4 linked regions of the Mus musculus genome follow. The protein of the gene in region 2 interacts with the protein of the main gene of each other region in a pairwise test. Links are inferred from orthologs where the notes say so. Each region holds a gene or a part of one and is shown on either strand. Other genes may lie near its edges.

The links.
Region 1: the proteins of Trim54 (region 2) and Leng1 interact in binary tests that used the Homo sapiens proteins (3 or more experiments, as listed by UniProt). The two-hybrid records come from large-scale screens. The link is inferred for Mus musculus from reciprocal best matches to the Homo sapiens genes TRIM54 and LENG1.
Region 3: the proteins of Trim54 (region 2) and Cwf19l2 interact in binary tests that used the Homo sapiens proteins (3 or more experiments, as listed by UniProt). The two-hybrid records come from large-scale screens. The link is inferred for Mus musculus from reciprocal best matches to the Homo sapiens genes TRIM54 and CWF19L2.
Region 4: the proteins of Trim54 (region 2) and Ngly1 interact in binary tests that used the Homo sapiens proteins (3 or more experiments, as listed by UniProt). The two-hybrid records come from large-scale screens. The link is inferred for Mus musculus from reciprocal best matches to the Homo sapiens genes TRIM54 and NGLY1.

The regions. Positions count from the first base shown.
Region 1 is NC_000073.6:3,662,785-3,668,007, forward strand, and holds the start of Leng1 (leukocyte receptor cluster member 1 homolog), read right to left. Parts: upstream 3,057-5,223; 5' UTR 2,664-3,056; coding exon 2,532-2,663; intron 1,078-2,531; coding exon 898-1,077; intron 241-897; coding exon 1-240. Other genes in the region: Tmc4 (transmembrane channel-like protein 4), read right to left, coding at 3,156-3,224, 3,318-3,396, 4,035-4,190, 4,264-4,394, 4,657-4,840.
Region 2 is NC_000071.6:31,129,758-31,134,333, forward strand, and holds part of Trim54 (tripartite motif-containing protein 54), read left to right. Parts: intron 1-1,284; coding exon 1,285-1,457; intron 1,458-2,230; coding exon 2,231-2,402; intron 2,403-4,292; coding exon 4,293-4,388; intron 4,389-4,576. UniProt on the Homo sapiens protein: May bind and stabilize microtubules during myotubes formation.
Region 3 is NC_000075.6:3,401,933-3,407,140, reverse strand, and holds the start of Cwf19l2 (CWF19-like protein 2), read right to left. Parts: upstream 3,057-5,208; 5' UTR 3,044-3,056; coding exon 2,951-3,043; intron 1-2,950.
Region 4 is NC_000080.6:16,247,251-16,252,369, forward strand, and holds the start of Ngly1 (peptide-N(4)-(N-acetyl-beta-glucosaminyl)asparagine amidase), read left to right. Parts: upstream 1-2,063; 5' UTR 2,064-2,116; coding exon 2,117-2,247; coding exon of another isoform or gene 2,248-2,249; exon of another isoform or gene 2,250-2,558; intron 2,559-5,119. UniProt on the Homo sapiens protein: Specifically deglycosylates the denatured form of N-linked glycoproteins in the cytoplasm and assists their proteasome-mediated degradation. Cleaves the beta-aspartyl-glucosamine (GlcNAc) of the glycan and the amide side chain of Asn, converting Asn to Asp.

The DNA of each region.
Region 1 (5,223 bases), on a different chromosome or scaffold from region 2:
TTTCTGAGGCCGTTCCTCTCTGGAAGGACGGCTTTCACTGCTGTGCCTTTTCTTTGCCAGGTGCTTCTGCATCTCTTTCAAGGGATCCAGTCGGTTCTTGATCTTCTCATCTGGGCTTGGGCCTGGAGGGCAGCAGTCCTTTTGCCCTGGGGGGAGCTGGTACCAAGGAGGCTGAGTTTGGGCCTCTGCTGCACTCTGGCCCAAGTAAGTCAGGATACCTAGTGCTTTCTCTTGTCTCTCCTGCAGAGGCAAGAAAACAAAATAGTCTTTTCAGTCCCTCTGGGAGCCCTAGATGTGGCAATAGAAAAACCCAGGGCTCAAATTTCTGGAGACGGGGACTGGTAGACAGTCATTTAACAAGGGAGATCAGAAGACCATTCAGGAAGCACCAGGGGCTTATCTGCAGGAGGAGGAAGAAAGAGAGGCTGCGGCCTGTGCAGTAGTGAAGATGGGAGAAGCTTTGGGAACAGTTTAAGGAAAAACCTGCAGAAAAGCAAAGTGGAGGAGTGATTTTTCAGTGGGAGATAGCACCTTCAAAGTTCGACGAGAGAGAGGAGAGCCACAGTACAAGTCAGTTTGAAAAGCACAAATGCTGTCTGGAGATGAGTGCCTATGATCCCAACACTTGGCTCAGGAGGCCAAGGCAGGGGGATTGAGAATTGGAAAGCACCCCTGGTCTGTGTAGTTGTGACCTCATCTCAAAAATAAAATAGCTTAAGACTTTTTTTAGTCCCATGGGAAAAGGTTAGCCAGTTTAAGTGCTGTACAGCAGTAACCAACTTACAGGTAATATCTCTCAGTCATATTCTAAAAATTTTAGAGTGCTTATCACCATATCCTAACAGTCACAGCCAGTCCCCACCCCCATGATTCCACCAAAAAATGAGGCCAACTTACCTTTTCCCGTCGCTTCTCTTCCTCATGCTCTTTATTGCCTCTGGGAACTCCTTTCCTTTCTTCCAGCAGCTCCCTAAACAGGTCCACAGGGCCAGAACTTGGAGCTCCTGGGTCTGCTGCTTCCAGCTCAGGCACTGAGTTTCGTTGCCTGGCTTTCTTCCGTAGGAATTCCGTACGGGCCTATGAAGGGTTATAGGGAAGACATTCAGAACCCAGAAGTGCTGAGGATACAAGAATGGTCCATGGGCAGGGAGGGCAGTGGTAGCACACACCTTTGAACCTAGCATTCAGGAGACAGAGGCACATGGATCTCTGAATTCAAGGCCAGCATGGTCTACAGAGTGAGTTAGTTCCAGGACTACACAGAAAAATCCTGTCTTGAAAAGAGGGGGTGGGGGTGGGGCAAATATTGAGAGCAAGAAGAGATACCATTTCTAACTTGGAGTGGAGAATCGATGTTTTTAGACAGTAAACTGGGCTATCAGAGATAGTTCAGAGAAGATCCCTGACCTAAAACAGAAGGCTTCCCAGTCTCAAGTGATGCAAGGAAAACCCACTCAGGTATAGGTATAGGTGGCTTGTTCAGCCATAGAGCCCCTGCCTTGTGTGTAGTTCCAAATTCAGTCCCCAACACAAGTATGTATATACTCCCAAACTTGTAAGGTAATCAAATATTGCTTTCTGGACAAAGGATCTAAATCCAAGGTATGGCTCCAGGTCACCACTCCAAGTACAACCTGACCCCAGATAGGGATGGTCTCTGATTCACAATTCTCCCCTTTCTGCAGCCTTAGTATCTGGGATTAATTACAAGCGTCACCTTTTTGTTTGTTTGTTTTGTTTTGTTTTGTTTTTTAAGACAGGGTTTTTCTGTGTAGCCCTGGCTGTCCTGGAACTCACTTTGTAGACCAGGCTGGCCTCAGAAATCCACCTGCCTCTGCCTCCCAGGTGCTGGGATCAAAGGCGTGCGCCACCGCCACTACCCGGCTTTTTTTTTTTTTTTTAAGCCCACACTAATTCATGATCAGATTGGCCAAGGGACTTAAGTGTAAACCAAACTAATCGAGTAACTTAGAGTCTGTGATGTGTGTGTGGTCTTCAATACTAGCGTTCAAGTGGAACAGGCAAGCTGAGTTCAAGACCAGCCTGGTCTACGTAGCCAGTTCCATAACAGCCACGGCTACACAGACCCTGTTCCAAATAAAACCTCCAGATGCTCTTTTCTTGGCAAGCAATGAGGGAGGGAGAAAAGACATGCCCAACGAAGTGGACCCCGGCTTGTCCGCCCTTTGCCCTCCTTGCTGAAGCCGTTGTACTCAGAGCAAGGTGACCGCACCCCTCCAAGTTGTTCTAAGAGGGAATTTCTCAAAGCAAGCGCTCAGAAGGAAGGGAGCATACACAGAGTGGGTGATCAGTAATTAACTTGTGCGGGCAACCTATAAAGTAATCAGAATATTTGTCCAACTCTTCCAGTATGCTAGTCTCTGGTCCCTCAACACCAGTGGGGAAATCTAGGAAGGTTTCTTGGAAGTTAGCACAGGATTTTCAGAGAAACATCGTCGAACACACAGACCCGCTCCCGGCACCGAGTGATAGCTAGGCCCGCCGCGCTTCTGGGCGGTCCCCAGGCTTACCTCTTGCTGGGCGAGCAGCACCCTCCGCTCCCGCTCCTTCTCCTCCTCCCGGGCCTGGGCCTCGTCGCGCCGCACGCGGGCAACATTGTCCTTGTTCCGGACGTGCCAGCTCTTCTTCGGCAAGATATTCATGGCTCCAGTGCCGACCTCGGACTGTCAGGCCCACTCTTCAGCACTTCCGATTGGCTCGAGGATGCTCCCGCCCCATGGTTCCACCCTTGCTCGTGCATTGGTTCTGGGCCAATTGTCACGTCCCATCCTAGCCTTGTTTAGAGATTATTGGCTGAGAGCCTTCCATCTCAGCCAATCCTAAGCATTTGTAACCTGAGTTGCTCCACCCCCGGACGCTGCTTGATGAGGCTGTTGCCTGTCTATTCCTTTAAGCAGACATAACCTAGCTCTTCAGGCCGATTTGGACCTGGCCCCTCCCCAAACCCCGTCCGAGGCTTCAGAACGGGGTTTCAAAACGCAAAGCGGCCTTGACTGTTGTTTATTAATACGGTTCAATTGAGAGTGTAGCATTCGGGTGGCAGAGGGCGGGGAATTTGGTTCCAGAGATGAAAGAGTCCCATCACTTGATATGAAGTCACTGAAGCTGAGGGGCTGAAGGTTCAGCCAGACTTATCAGGAAGTTCCATTCCTTGAGCTCAGAGCCACAGCTCGCTGGGCCAGGAAGACTTTATTCTGCACTTCCTGCGGGCAAAAAGGAGCGAAAGTGAAGCACACCTTTTCATTCTTCTTTCATAGTCTCATAGAGCCCTTTCCGGGGAAATCAGCCTGGCTCACCGTCTCTATCTGGCGTTTGAGCTCAGAGATGAGGCGTCCGTAACAGTTAGCCAGGGCTACGGTATACATCATCAGGATGCTATGGAAGACAGGAATGAAAATCACTCTAGAAAAACAATCATCTTCATCATATGGCTCCTTAGAAACCAGGCTGGAGAGATGGCTCGTAACCGGAGCACTGGCTGCACTTCCAAAGGACCGGGGTTCAATTCCCAGCCCCACATGGCAGCTTACAATTGTAACTCAAGTTCGTTACTTCACACAGACAGTCACACTGTCCAAATACCAACACACATAAAAATTAAATGAATAAGTAAATTAAAGAAACCAATATCAGGATCCTCAAATCCCTTAAAACCCTTTTTGAGACTCTGAACACAAGTCTTTATCCTCTCTCTTTAGACCCAAAAGTTCAGACCCTTTAACCAGAGGTTAAACTAGAGGTTCAGGCTCCATACCTCCTCCCCCTTCATCAAATCGATAAATCCACACCCTAGCCCTCCTTTCCTCAGACCAGGAATCCAAACCCAGATGTCTTTTCTTAGACCCTAAGCATTCACACTCCGACTCTCCTGCTCTTGATTTATAGGCATCCCGGCCAGCCCCACGTCTCTGTTGTATATAGGCACCCAGCCCACCTCTCTAGCACTCAGGTGCCCAGAAACTCCTTTCTCTTTCAAACACTAAATTACACACATTCAAAGTCTGACTGCTCACCTAGAGAGGATCAGAAGAGGTACAGTAAAAGCTTGGGTTCCCAGAAAGTAGAGAAAATTCTGGGCAGTCTGAGGGAGGCTCTCAATGGCCTCAGGGATCTGGGCCCAAATGGACAGCTTCCCGCGGAACGGGCCACACAGTTTCGAAGGTGGGATCCTGTAGGGGGAGACACACTGGATTCAGTCAAGTCGAGCTAGAGTGAGAACAAACAGAAGTCTCTCGTACTTACAGGAAGATACTGTAAAGCACGGGAACTGCAGAGATCGCCAGACCCACAAGGAGAACCAGGGGGAAAAAGAAGTTTGCCGTGGATGCTCGGAAGGTGCGGGAAGCCGGTGAGTAGATGGAGAAGAGGGTTATCTGGTAGGGAGAGGCGAGGAAATGGAGGTGTAAGACTCAAGAGTCAATCCTTTGCTTTTCCCTGTTTCTTATCTTGGAGCTTTGGCCTCCTTTGGGGGCTGGGACCAGATCTCTGAGCCAATAGGACTCTGACTTCCAGCTCCCTCCTCCCATCCTCAGGGCATAGTAATCAGGGCCCTGATAACCGTCCTCCTTTCTCTAGCCCAGGACTACAGCCTCCAACACCTGTCAGCTCAGACCCTAGGCTACTCCTCAGACTCACCTTCTTCAGGCAGAACAGTATGAGGAACTTAGCAGTGTTGATCAAAGGCAGTAAAGGGCAGAAGAAGCTTCCCACCCAGACCACGGTCTGCGCATAGATGAGCCCCAGCACCTCATCTGGCACCTGGAACTCCAGGGTTCCCGACAGACGACCCAGTGCCCCAGGACAGAGGCCACAGAGTATCCTGAAGGGCAGAGTGGGACAGTCATAGGCTGCCTTTTGGCTTTCCTAACTCTACCACCCAGCCCATTCCTTGATTTTATGTTTATTTTTTAAATATTTATTTTAAAAAAGATTTATTCATTTATTTTATGTATATGAGTACACTGTAGCTGTACAGATGGTTGTGAGTCTTCATGTGGTTGTTGGGAATTGAACTTAGGACATCTGCTTGCTCTGGTCAACCCCACTTGCTCATGCCCAACGATTTATTTATAAATAAATACACTGTTGCTGTCTTCAGACACACCAGAAGAGGGTGTCAGATCTCATTATGGGTGGTTGTTAGCCACCATGTGGTTGCTAGGATTTGAACTCAGGACCTTTGGAAGAGCAGTCAGTGTTCTT
Region 2 (4,576 bases):
GAGTGTATGTGAATGCCACAGAGTGTGTAGAGTCGGTGGGCTCTCCTACAAAGTGGGTCTTGGGGATCAACTCAGAGCATCCGGCTTGGTGGCAAGAGTCTTTATCATTGAGCTGTCTTACCAGTTCCAACAAGTGATTCTTTCCACCTCTCTGTAGACCAGCCTTCAGTGTTAATAGTTTTTGTCTCTCAGTTTCCAGGATGGACACCAGATCAGCTCTTAGTCAAATTCCATGAGCCTTTTTTCTGTAGCCAGCTTGACTTCTGCATCCTAAGCCACAATTCAGGAGAGGATTTTGATTGGTTGCTTCAGGTCACACTATGGTGGTGGCTTCAGAGTGAGCTGGGACTGGTCTCTAAGACACACAGTGTAAAGAGCCTCAGCTAAGCCGCCAGTGCCACCATGTCCAGCCTTTCTTTCTCTCCTTTTCTTTTTTAGACAGGTCTCATTCATCCTGTGCTGCCCTCAAACTCCCTATGTAGCTGAGGATGATGTTAGACCTCCTATGGAGCAGACCCGCCTACCTCTACCTCCCAAGTGCGCCACTCTGCCCCTGGGGATCAAATCTAGGGCAGCCTCTACCACTTGAGCCACATCCCGAGCCTGGCTGCAATTCCTCTGTCCCTGTTCAGCACTTGAGTTGTGTGACTCTTCCCGGGACTAAAGAGAAGCACTCTCATGGCTCAGTATTTGGGAGACAGAGGCAGGTAGTTAGACAGAGTGTTTGAGGCCAGCCTGGACTACATAAGACCCTGTCTCAGGGAGAGAGAGAGGAGAGAGAGAGGAGAGAGAGAGAGAAAGAGAGAGAGAGAGGGAGAGAGAGAGAGAGAGAGAGCCATAAGCCCAATACTTGGGAGGTCAAGGTAGAAGGATCAGGAATTCAAGGTTATCTTCCATTCACGTGGAGTTTGAGACAAGATTATATTATCTTGCCAAACATACATGCACATGTACATATGCACCACCTTACATGTGCTCATAAGGGTCCAAGCTGGAGGACACTGGCTATACTGCCAGTCTCTTGCCTACAGTTAGCATTCCTGTCAAAGCCCCATGCTGGACTCCATTGAAGATAGTGATCAGGCCTGGGCCAAAGTGAGGCTCTGTGTGCGGGGACACTCAAGGAGCTGAGCTGAGGGATGAGGCCAAGGCAGGAAATCGTCTGTCAGAGTGTTGTCTGGGGACACCAAATGCAGAGAAGACCTAATGTTCCCGTGTCAGCTCACCACTTGCCTTCCCTCACACCTCCTTACACTTCTAGTGTCCTGTCACCTGTCTTCTCAGGCCTCTAATCCTCTGTGGCAATCCCGGGGCTCCACAACGGTGTCTTCAGGAGGACGTTTCCGATGCCCATCTTGTAGGCACGAGGTTGTCCTGGACAGGCATGGTGTCTATGGCCTGCAGCGGAACCTGCTAGTGGAGAACATCATTGACATCTACAAGCAGGAGTCCTCCCGGTAAGATAGATGCCTGGCTGCTGGCCTCTCTGGAGGGAAGAGCCTGCACCCTTGGGGATAGAGGGGCAGTTTAGGGTTTCCATTGCTATTGTGGAGCACTGTGTTTGCCTCACACTCCCACATCATAGACATTCCTGAAGTCAGGACAGGAACTCAAAGAGGGCAGGAACCCGGAGGCAGGAGCTGATGCAGAGACCATGGAAGAGTGCTGCTTACCGGCTTGCTCCTCATGGCTTGCTCAGCCTGCTTTCTTATAGAACCGAAGACCACCAGCCCAGGGATGGCCCTACCCACAGTGGGCTCCCCCATCAACATCCCCCATCAATGGCTAAATAAGAAAATGCCTCACAGGCTGTCTATAACCCCATCTTTTGGAGACATTTTTTTGATTGCAGTCCCTTCCTCTCAGATGATTTTAGTCTGTGTAAGCTGACATCCCCCCAGCAGAGGGAGGAGGACAACAAAGGGGAAAGAAGACCTAGGGAGGAGGGGAGGCCTCCAGGGAGGCCCGACTTTGCCTCTGGAAACACTGTTCAATCTTACTCCCTCCTCCTGGTCTGGGACCAAAGTCTACCTCAATGTTCTTGACCTCATCAGCTCCCATGACTTCCTGTCCTGCGTGACATCTTTGTCCCCTGGAATAGATTCTTCCTGGGTCCAGGTCTCCTTTGAGCATCGTTTCTTCCCCAAAGTGAGAACGCTGTGTAAGTTTCCGACCACTGGTCACAGTCTGGCTCCCTGACAGTCGCTGCTGCCTTGCCCTTGATCCTCAGGCCACTGCACGCCAAGGCTGAACAGCACCTCATGTGTGAGGAGCACGAGGACGAGAAGATCAACATCTACTGCCTGAGCTGCGAGGTGCCCACCTGCTCTCTCTGCAAGGTTTTCGGCGCCCACAAGGACTGTGAGGTGGCCCCTCTGCCCACCATTTACAAACGCCAGAAGGTATCTAGTCAGGGAGGGGTCGGGAAAAGGGTTTAGGACTGGGCAGTTCTCACTGTACTTAGGTAAGGGGTGGTCAGGGCAAATCCCCAGCTCTGCTTTCTACTCTGCACACGACCCTGAGGCAGTTACCTGACCTCCCTGACCCTGACTGCCTTCTCTGGTCAGGCAAGGTGAAGACAATGGTTATGGCCACAGCATCAGCTAGTTAATATCTAACGGGAGCCACTTCAGGACGGTATCCACCAAAGGACCAGATACGCTCAAGAGTGTGAAATTACACAGCTAACTTCCAGATATGCTGAGATTTTTAAGATCACACCAGTTGGCCTTTGAGAGGAGAAGGGCATCCTAGGAAGGTGGGGATGGGGGGTGGTGGTGGGAGGTGGGAAGGGCAGGTCCAGAGAGCCCCTGCAGGCAGGAGAGATAACATTCATCACATGACCAATGCTGGCTCAGTACAGGCTAGAGATAGAGGCCATGCCGCAAAACCTGCAAAACATGTGTAGGTAGAGGTGCATTTAAGACTCCCCAAACCTCAGCTTGTGTTGAAGTCCCAAGATATCAAAGAAGTCGTTTATATCACCTGGTTCTTGTCAGAAACAAATGCAGATGTTAAGCTGGAAGAAGATGCCTTCAATGCAGGCCCTTAGATTAAGATCAACACAACAATCACAATGGAAGATACACAGAGAAATGGACCACATGAGTGCAATTAGCAGAAACCCTTCAAACCCTCAGGGAATTGAGATGTTGGAATTATTAAAGAACAGAAACTTGCAATGTACACGATGTTTTTAAGAAGATAGAATAATGTCAGGCATGGTTGAGCACTCTGTAAGTCTTAGCACTCAGGATGCTGGGTGCCCAGCCTAGACTACATAAAGAATTCTAAGCCAGCCTGGGCTGTATAAGGAAAGACCCTGTTTTAAAGAAAAATAAAGTGGGGCTGGAGAGCTCAGTGGTTAAGAGCACTGTCTGCTCTTCAGAAGGTCCTGAGTTCAAATCCCAGCAACCACATGGTGGCTCACAACCATCTGTAATGGGATCTGATGCTCTCTTCTGGTGTGTCTGAAGACAGCTACAGTGTACTCATATACATAAAACAAATAAATCTTAAAAAATAAAAAAATAGAAAAAAAGATGAAATAAAACAACAGCATCATCATCATCATCAACAACAACAAAAGGTAGAATTGGAGATATAGCACACTTGCCTAGCACAAAGCCCCGGATAGATCCCCAGAACTGAAAAAAAACAAAAGTGCAAAATGACCATGTAGCAGCAGTGGCCTGTTGTGGTGGCGAACACTGTAATCTCAGCTACTAGGGAGGCCAAGGAAAGAGGATAACAGATTCAAAGCCAGTGTGGATAACATGAAAAGGCCCGATCGAAGAAAAACCAAAGCAAAGCAAGCTGAACATAGATCTGACAAAGAACTGAGTGGAAACTAATAACTGTGGGAAAACCAGTAGACGGACCAAGTGATGGATTTCTCAGAAGAATCACTGAATGAAAGAAGAGTACAAACAAACAAACAAGTGAAAACAAAAAAAAAAACAAAAAAATAGAACGTGGCAGCACCAGGAAGAGGGAGGTGGAGGATGGGAAGGCCTGCACAGTCCTATTGGACTCCCAGAAGGATAGGAATTGACAGAAGCAGTGTTGTCTGAGTGGAAAGCCCTAAGACTCTTCCAGAATTAATGGAAGACGTGGCTCTCCTAACAAAGCATCCAGGCCAGAGGATGGTGTGTGGTGGGTGTCTAGAGAGTGTCACCTCCCCAGCCCTCTAGATCTTTGCAGATGTCCCCAATGATCGAGGTGAGATGAGAGGGGTGCCATTGTGGGTGGGGCTTCTGACTCTAAAGCTGGCCTGTGTGTGTGTGTGACAGAGTGAGCTGAGCGATGGCATCGCGATGCTGGTGGCGGGCAATGACCGTGTGCAGGCAGTGATCACCCAGATGGAGGAGGTGTGCCAGACCATTGAGGTGAGCTCAGGCTGGGAAGACAAGGGGAGCAAGATGGTCTGTACAGAGACCCCAAGATTCTTTGACTTCTGGTCAAGCTGGCCAAAGAGTTTCTGGACTCTAGCTCATGGTGGGTTGTTTTTAGCCAGCTTGTTCCCAGCACACAGCAACTCCGTAATGTCGGTCAAGTTACACTTTCCATGCTTTGG
Region 3 (5,208 bases), on a different chromosome or scaffold from region 2:
CAAATCAGCATAGCCAAGATAAAAAATGAAGGTGACAGCAGATGCTGGCAAGGATGTGGAGAAAGAGGAACAAACACTCCTCCATTGCTGGTGAGATTGCAAGCTAGTACCACTTTAGAAATTAATCTGATGGTTCCTCAGAAAATTGGAAATAGCTCTACCTGAAGACCCAGCTACACCAATCCTGGGCATATACCCAAAAGATGCTCCAACACTATAACAAGGACATATGTTCCACTATGTTCACAGCAGCCTTATTTATAATAGCCAGAAGCTGGAAACAACCCAGATGTCCCTCAACGGAAGAATAGATACAGAAAATAAGGTACATTAACACAATGGAATACTGCCCAGCTATTAAAATGACAACTACGAACTTTGTAGGCAAATGGATGGAACTAGAAAATATAATCCTGAGTGAGGTAACCAGACCCAAAAGAACATACATGGTATGTACTCATTGGTAAGTGGATACTAACTGAAATACTCAGAATACCCATGATACAACCCACAGATCATATTAAGCTTAACAAGAAGGAAGGGCATAGCGTGTATGCATCAAACCCACTTAGAAGGAGGAACAAAATAATCACGGGAGGCAGAGGAAAGGAGGGTTCTGGGTGGGAAAGGGGCGGGGAAGGAAAGGAGGGGCCAGCGGAGGCAGTACCAGGTATTGGAAGAGACAGGAGATAGGAGAGAAGTCCATAGGCCCAGGAGAAGGAATAGAAATAAGTACCAGTGGGGGTGGGGAACTTGGGGAAGTACTAGAAAGTCCTCAACACCAGGAATTCGAGAGACTCCCAGGACCCAATGGGGATGACATTTGCCAAAATAGCCAACAGTAGGAAGATAGAACCTGAAGAGATCATCTCCAGTAGATAGACATGGCCCCCATGGGAGGGATGGGGCCAACCCCTACCCCATCTAAAAAAATTTAACTCATAATTGTCCCTATCTAAAGGAAATGCCAGGACAAAAATGGAGCAGAGGCTGAAGAAAAGGCCATCCAGAGACCTCCCCACTGTGGGATCCATTCCATCCACAGACACCAACACACTCCCCACCCCCCTTACTATTGCTGAAGCCAAGATGTGTTTGCAGACAGGAGCCTGGTATAGCTCTGAGGGGCTTTGCCAGCACCTGACTAAGAGAGATGCAGATACTCACAGCTAACCATTGAACTGAGCCTGGGGATCCTAATGGAAGAGTTAGGGGTAAAGGAGCTGAAGAGGATTGCAACCCCATAGAAAGAATAACAGTATCAATTTAACCAGAGTTCCCAGGAACTAAACTACCAACCAAAGAGTCCATGGCTCCCCCTACATATGTAGCAGAGGATTATTGCCTCATCTGGCATCAATGGGAGGGGAGGTGCTTGGTGCTGTGGAGGCTTGATACCCTAGAGAAAGTGGATGCTAGAGGACTGAGACAGGAGTGGGTGGTGGAAGGGGAAGTACCCTCTTAGAGGCAAAAGGGAGGAGGAAGGGTGGAAGGATTTGTGAAGAGGAGACTGGGAAGGGGAATAACATTTGAAAGATAAACAAAATGATTAATAAAAGGAAGTTATTAATAGCTTTCCTTTGGGACTACCAATCTTCACTAAATTTGGGTACAAATCACACACAGTATTCAGTACAAGACTAACATATATCCTCTTTTCTCTCTGTCTCAAATAGGATTTGGAATCACTTTAACCTTCATTGTCACTGTGGCTAGTTCTTTAGACTTTCCCAAAAGTTATAAATCTGACCTTTTTCCATGCCTTCAAAATAGACAGTGCCAATACAATTGACTCAGAAAAGTTATCCTCTTAAAAAGAAAGAACCATATGGCTAATTTCTAGTCAGCAGTCAACAATAGTAATACAATGCAAGAAGTTTCTTCTGCTTTCTCATCCATCTGTCAAAATTCCTAAGCTGACTTTGGTCCTTATCAAACTGTATGTAGATTTGTCTAAAATTCTTCACAGCTGACAAAGAGTTTCTTCCAAAAACTGTTTGAAATATCAAACAGACAGTCATTATGATTATTCATTATATCTATTTTGAAATCAGCCAATATTCATGATGCTTTATCTGACCAAGACTAACTGCCCACCCATCCCCTTAAAATGTGACTGAAGGAAGGCATTACTCATTCTTCCTATTTATTTTCTACTCTCTATATGCATTTAAACTTATTTAAAATTCTTTTATCATAAAACAAAAAACCCAAAACATAGTCACGGAACATTCCGTTGTTCAACTACAAATTCATCTTTTTCACTGTCACAATTAATCAGGAATAACTGTCAATAACTGTTCAATAATTTACTTCTTCCGTTTTTATAAACTCCATACATTTCAATGTTAATGAGAATTCTGTTTCCAAAACCTGGGGTCGGGGAGCACATATTCTGAGTCTCTTATGCTAAAACAGTGTTTCAATCAGTAAAGGCTGGCCTAAGCCTGGAGTTGAAAGGAAAACGTGGAGGAAACACCAACGTATTCAAATGTGTCCTACTTCCAATAAGCCGGGGCAATGACTCATGCTTCGAATTAACTGGTAAGAAGAGTCCTCGGATGTGACACTGGACACAGAAACTGAGCAATCCAGGCGGCTGAAATATCAAGAGTGCTTAAAAACTAAGGAAACTGGAAGGAAACCAATCAATCTTTTTGCGGAGAGAAATAGCAAATGGAGCCGGTCCGAGCGTTTAGAAGACAACTGCATTGGAAAAAGACCAAAATCAGACAAGGTGAGATACCGAAGTAACGAGAGAAGTGAGTGGACTATCTCCCAGGATTCTCAAGTCCTACAACTTTTAAATAACATTCCGAAACCGTAAGATTTATAAAACGAAAGTATTTCAAGAACTAAATCTCGGAAAGCGATTACCTAGCATGCAGAAGCCCTTAGTACAACCCCAGTTTTAAAAAGGAAGAAAGAAAATTCTCCAAAGCCGGGATACCTGGCGTAACACCTCGGCCCTGGCATTACGGGTCTGTTCTTTTCGCTCTTCGATACTGCTAGCACTTTCAAATCTTACACTAAACGCCTCCATAGTTGTTGCCGTCGAAAAGCAAGGACGCCGTCGGGAAACCTCGGTTTACGACTGTCGTAATTTAGAAACCGAATCTGCATTTCAAAATAGTAGGGAAGGGGCGTTACTATGCCAACAGAGCAGGCGCAGTTCCGAATGTTTCGCCTGTGAAAGGTTCAGCGGAAACTTGTAGCCTGCTGGAGAGTTGATCTTTCAGATGTACTAGGTTCGCTAAGCGCTGAGTTAATATAAACATGCGTTATTATGAGCCCTGCGATATATTAACTCATTTCTCAATAGGACTCTTAAAACACTCCAGTAAGCTAGAAGTTACTTACTTCCCCCTTCTTGCCTGACTTCCTGTGACTGTGCATCAACCTGAAGGGAACCTGATCAGAAAGTCAGAACGTGGGGGGAAAAGGGAAAAACAAAAATTGCTCTTAAGAATCAGTATAGGGGCTGGAGAGATGACTCAGTGGTTAAGAGCACTGACTGCTCTTCCAGATGTCCTGAGTTCAATTCCCAGGAACCACGTGGTGGCTCACAACCCTCTGTAATGGGATTGAACGCCCTCTTCTGGTGTGTCTGAAAACAGTGACAATGTACTCATATAAGTAAAATAAGTAATTAAAAAAAAAAGTTCAGTATTTTTCTTTGATGGGTGTCTTGAAATATATTTAAAACTGGGGTAGAGAGATGGGTCAGTGATTTAGGTGCTAACTGTTCTTGCAAAGGACCTAAGGCCACATCCAGGAACTCACAGGGATCATCAAAACCATCTCTAGCTCCATTTCCAGGAGATCTCCCTCTTCTGGCCTCCACAGGCATTGCAACTACATGATGACATAACACTCATTAAATAAATAAATAAATAAATAAATAAATAATTCTTAATTATTTGGAGGTCAAGACTTGGTGTTGCACAAGCCTGGGTGCAGGAAGAGTCCTCATCACCCAGAAGAAAGATGCCTTGGTTGTGTGGTTATCTCTCATAAAGAAAAAACAGTGACCTCTGTTGTATTTATTGCATCTTGCATAATTAAGTCTCTGTATCAAAAGACTAGCCCCATCTGTGCTTCATTTGATTCGCCCACTAGGATAGAAACAGGAAAGTTGAAATAAGCCATTTCTATCTCCTTTTGCCCATATCAACTCAGCAAATTTAAGATGACAAACTTGAATGGTTACAACCCCTTTATTTGATTCATTATGTTTGTGAGGCAGCACTCCAGTTTGTGCATCTGAAGCAAGGATAACCAGCCAATTCAGAGTTGATAGGAAGGGCTAATATACCTGCCCACGCATTACCAAAGGCACTCAAAAAGACTTGCCATGAAATATTGAAGGCTAAACGCACTGATGATTTTCGAAAACCTTGCTTCTCCGTAGGGAGAGCTTTGAAATTTCTTTTGTTGTTGTTGTTGTTGTTGTTGTTGTTGTTGTTGTTGAGAAGCAATACTCATGAGTCCTTGTACCAAAAAGAGTCAAAAGAAATAAAAATATCAAGAAACTAATAACCAGATTTTGTTTCTTTCTCTCTTATCTTCTCATCCAAAGATACAATGGTGATGAGAGGACGGACTGATATTGTTATATCTAAGGTAGAGTAGACAGTCATACCCTGGCTAATAGTGAGGAGCAGACTGTATCCACATTCATTCTACAGGGCCTGCTCTGCTCCATCTGTGTAAAGAAAACCACAGGTAAGGCCTAAGCCCTGCTAGACACTAAAATGTCCTCTGTGAGGACAGTCTAGGTGCAGACATGCTGAAATCTGGCCTTCTAGTGAGTCTAGGAATGTGTCATGCATATCAGTTAGCCTTTCACTGTGCTTTTAAAAATTGTCTGAGGATGAAGAGATGGCTCAGTAAAAGTACTACTCATGTGGAGGTCCCACTTTGGGTTTCTGGCACCTACATGACAGGCCCCTGTCATGTGTAACTTCAGTTCCAGTGGGTGAGATGTACTCTTCTGGTCTCTGTGGGTACTGTTTGCATATGGTGTACTTACATAGAGACAAAACACTCATCTACATGAAAGAAAAATCAATTAATCAAAACGTTTTTAATAGATTCATAATCCTTACCAAATTAGACATCTTGTTTGAAAATAATTATTCACATGAAAAAACATTTTGAAGAGATTAGGTTAAATTTCATCATCATGTATAAGGCAACTGTCAAGAT
Region 4 (5,119 bases), on a different chromosome or scaffold from region 2:
ACGACTTCCATAACACAATATGATAAATTTACTTCCAAGCTCAGCACAAGTTTTCAAAAAATATCTGAAACCATGCTTACCCTAGTTTTCTATTGCTGTGATAAAACACCACAACCAAGGCAACTTATAAAACCATTTACTTTGGCTTATGGGTACAAAGGTTAGAGTGCGTGATGGCAGAACTGCATGGCAGCAGGCATGGCAGCCAGAGAAGGAAATTGAATACTCACATCCTTTACCACAAGCACAAGCAGAGGGAGTAACCTGGACATAGGGCAGGAGCATGTACTCTCAAAACCTAACTGCCTCCCATAATGCACTTTTCCTAACAAGGCTGCAGCAGCTGGCCTGCCTGTATCCTTTATATACTGGGATTACAAGGATCAGTCAACACTCACAGCAAATAGCTGGGAATACAGCATTTGAAGTTGGGCCACAAACATAATTATTACTTTGTTATGGACCAGAAAAAAAAATGCTAGTAGTTAGCCACTGAAAAATTTAAACAACAGCTAATAACATACTTTGTTGAACATAATATTCTCTTTCTAAGACTTATTCTTTCAAAGTCTCATAGATATACAATGTTCTTTGGCCACAGTCCATCCATTATCTCTCTTCCATCACCTTTGCCCTCCCCTTTAACCCCCCTTTCCCTCATCTGCCTCCTTCTTTCATGTCTTTGGTGGTGGTGGTAGTAGTGATATATGTATGTATGTATGTATGTATGTATGTATGTATGTATGTATGTATGTATATTTGATTCTCCTGCCTCTACCTTCCAAGTTTTGGGATTTGCCAACATGCCTAGCTGAAAACAATATTCTTGAAGTTGGTCTACAAACCTAAGTGCTAAAAATGTAGGTATATTTTACAGATGAATATTCAGAAGTTCTTGAAAATTCTCCGAAGAAATTGCCCAGAAACATTAAAAAACAACAGATAATAAAGTGTCAAACGAGGTCACATAAGTAAATATCTTTAAAACACAAAGCCAACAAGTACCTGCTACGTGCTAGTGATTCATATATGTAATTCCAGCTATTCAAGGTGAGTGGAGCATGGAAAACTCCTGACTACAAATCAAGGTCAAGTGCACTCTTAGTGGCATTTCAACATTAAAAAGTAATAAAAAAAAGCCAGGTAGTGGTAGACAAGCCTTTAATTCCAGTACTCAGGAGGCAGTGATCAGGTGGATCTGAGTTCAAGCTGATCTATAGCTGGAGTTCCACTTTACCCAGAACTATGCAGAGAAACCCTCTTCTGAAGAAGAAAAAGAAGTAATGAGGACTGAGTATGAAGCTCAGTGCTGGAGCCAATTTCCAGGGTTGATGTCAGTGACAAGGGCATCAGCTAAGGAGGTTAGTGATTCCCTTTCTAAGATAAATTAAGGATACTGGTAAGGGATATGCCAGTATGAGTCAAAGGATACAATGTGTATATAAACTTTATTTACTTGTTTGTTCCTCATTTTATTCTATTATTGTATATGGGTTTTATGCGAGTATCCATAGGACACTCCCAAAATGCTCCTTGCATCAGAATCATACCTTGTGAGCAACAACTGAGTTTTCATCAACAGAATTCGGAAAATACACAAATCAGAAACCCAGAAGAGTTCTGAGCTATGCTCTGTTTTTGAAGCCGGACACTAGTAACCAAAGGGCAAGACTGCAGTAAATTCCCGTGTGAGCCCAGCCTAGGCCACAGACCATGATCACTTTCCCTTCCCCATAACCGCCCCCACCCCACCCCACCCCCCAAAAAAAAGACATAACAAAAACTTGCTCGGTCTTCTGGAGTCTTTTCTTCCACAAAAGACTTTTATCTACCGTAAAAAGAAGGCTGTGCAATTATCTCTGGGACCCTACCCGACACAAGCAGCCACCACAGCTCGAGATCTACTCCACTGGCTCGGCCCCTTGTACCCCGTACCCCAACGTTCGCAACCGGCCTCTCCGCGGCTCGCCCCGCCCCTAGCCCCTCCCGGAACGCCCCGCCCCTCGGCTCCTCGCCCCGCCCTCTGGCCGCAGGCCTCTGCGGCGGCCTAGGCGCTCCTCAGCGCCTGCTCAGTGCGGGCCGCGGTGCGCGAGGTGGCGAAGGCCGCGGCGCAGCCATGGCGTCGGCCACACTGGGCAGCTCGTCGAGCTCTGCGTCCCCGGCCGTGGCCGAGCTATGCCAGAACACCCCGGAGACCTTTCTGGAGGCCTCCAAGCTGCTGCTCACCTACGCCGACAACATCCTGAGGTGCAGCCGGGGCCCTCGAGCCTGAGGGCCGCAGGCGGGCGGGGCCGCGGACACTCGGGCCTGAGGCGGGGCGGGCTGGGCGACGAGGGCCCGCCGAGGCTGTCACTGAGTTTGACAGCTGTGCTGTCCCATCTCGCTGCAGGATCCCGGCGCTGTGGCTCAGCCCGAGTGCCAGTTAAACGTTCACGCCGAGTTTGGCGGTTGACACATTTATAGTTTAAGTTACGAACTTTGTGTCAAGTCACCTTTGTACTGAGTGCAGCACTTTCCACAACTGGCTGGGAGTTTGAGTCAGCACCTCCCATGGCCGCTCCGGTCAAAGAGTGTGGGGAAGGGATGCGGAGGGGCAGACAGTGGAGGTCACTTCAGTTGAGCCCCTGGGCGCTGGCTCTTACAAACACACCGACCCGAAGTCTGTAGGAATTCTTAGTTTAAAGGCTGTACAGTTCATGCGGACCAGCTTTAGAGAGTTAGTTGTTAGAGACATTGAGGTGTTGTCCTGTACCCCAAACTGGCATGGAACTTGATCTGTACCCCAGAACTCATGCCAGTCACGACCTACCAAAAGCTGAGATTACAGGTGTGTGCCACCACAACCATAATTCTTCATTTAGGTGACATTAGTGATATTTAAAATATATTTGAAAAGGGAATATAATGTGATTCTATGCCAGATGTTATGCAGCATTTGGGCTTGCACATAATTGTGACTTGTGTGAAGATGGCCTTCCTCCTTTATGACACCTCAGCTTAACCCTGAGATCTCACAGCACCTCAGAGTACAAGGTGTCTGAAAGAACTCATAAGCTTGATTCTCCAGAGCCCACAGCTGGCGTTTCATACTGAATTGTTTAAGTCTTCAACCTCCCACCCCCATACATAAGAGAAGGATGGATTTGTAAAGACATTTCGATTCTGTTAGTACAATGAAACCAAAGATGCTAAGATCAGAGTACTTTGAAAGATAGCTTTGCATGCAGACAGTTATTTCGGATCATGACCATCATTATGAATATTTACTAAATTTCTTAAAGAAACTGGTTCATTTTACAGCCTTTACTGTGGCTTACATTTCTGATCTTGGAGTTTTTGTTTTATAAAGGAAATTAGAGCAGTTTGTAAGAGAAATGATTCAGGTTGATGTGAGAAAATGCTCCTTTAGTTTGTTTTCAACAAGTGTCCTTGTGTTCTTAGAATTCAAGGTCTGGCTTGGTTGGGAGATGATATCCTGCTTCTTCATGTCCAAATCCAGTGACTTCTTAACTCTTAAGGAAAAGCTCCATGTCTTCCTGGTCCCTGACCGCACATTATAATTATACTTCTGTAATTTGGTAGAGAAAATCAGGTTCCTCTTTGCATTGCTATTTTCTTTTAAACCCACTAGTGCCATAGTGGAGGCACTATTGAAGGCATATTGTCCCAGCATCTCATTTGCCTCAGTATCAGAACAATTTATAGAATGGATATGCAAATAAAAATGCATTAGCTTGTTTTGAAGTAGATACTTGTCACTGAAATCTACAATGAAATAATACTCTTAAATTTCTGCTTGAATATTTATCATATCCTAACAGTAATAAATCTAAATAAGCTCCAAAAGAAATGTGTGCTAATTTGTATGCAAAAGCTGCCACCCATTTTAGATAAGATGAGCTTACTATGGACTTTATCAAGAGCAAAACAAAGCAACTCTGTATTAGTTTTCCTGACATCACAGGTGAGCTGCTTAGCTAATTTGATTCATGAACCAGAGTTTGGTTTAGAACTTTTCATGTACCTAAGAATAATGTTGAACTTCTTATCCTCCTACCTACACCTCTAAGTTACAGGTGTGGGCTACCACAATTGCTGTTATGAGCTGCCACAGATTGAGCCAGGGCTCAATGAATGGGAGGCAAGCACTCTACCATCTAAATGGATCCCCTGTCCCTAGTTCATTTATTCTTTAATATAAATATTTGATATTGTACTGTTTTGTTTACAAAGCACACATAGTGTTTGACTATTAACTGTACTGAGTGAAGAACCAAGAATCAAACATAGTTTCTTTGTTCAAATAATATAAATGTATTTGGGAGAAGAAAGGTTTGAAAAACAGCTACAGTGTAACATCAAAGAACAATTCCAAGACAGTGTTAATGTCTCTGTCTTTATATTTTTATGTTAGGAGGTAGTAGGGAGACCAAACATGAGACATTTAGTGAAGGGATAGGCAAAGGTGACTCACAGTTTCTACAGTGGAGTTTCCGGGAGGAAACCATTAGAAGAAACAGGCATTGATTATGAAGTCACTGCATAATCATAACAATAAACCCAATGGAATGGAGAAAGAGAATTTTCAATGACAATGCAAGAAGTAATAGAAGACAAAAAACTTCTAATTTTTAATGTAGGTTGCCACTGACACGTAGAGAAATTGAGTGTAATTGAAAGTTGGTGAGTCTGCTGGCAGCTTGTGTGGTGGTATATGTATAAACATTTTAACCAGAGCAGTAAGTTTCAATTTTAGTCAACTATTTTAAGTGTCATTATAGGCAATTTACATATAATTTCCAAGTTTAAGTTTACCTTATAAAAGGAAGAAAAATACTCTATTCTAGGACTACCCAACATAAATGACCTGGCACATATATCGCAACTACTGAGGTGGTTGCTATTATTATTATTTCTATTAAATTAGGTGAAAAGTTTGGTGGAGTGTTTGACTGTTTGTTCTTTGAAATTTCATGTCTGTAGCCCATTGTTTATTCTTCATCTCTTTCCCTGTCACCATCCCCTCTAGTGTACAAATTCCTCCCACATGCAATTATTTTTGTAATGTTTTGTCTTGTGCCCTACAGTGGGGGTTTTGTGGTTTTTTTGGTGTTTGAGA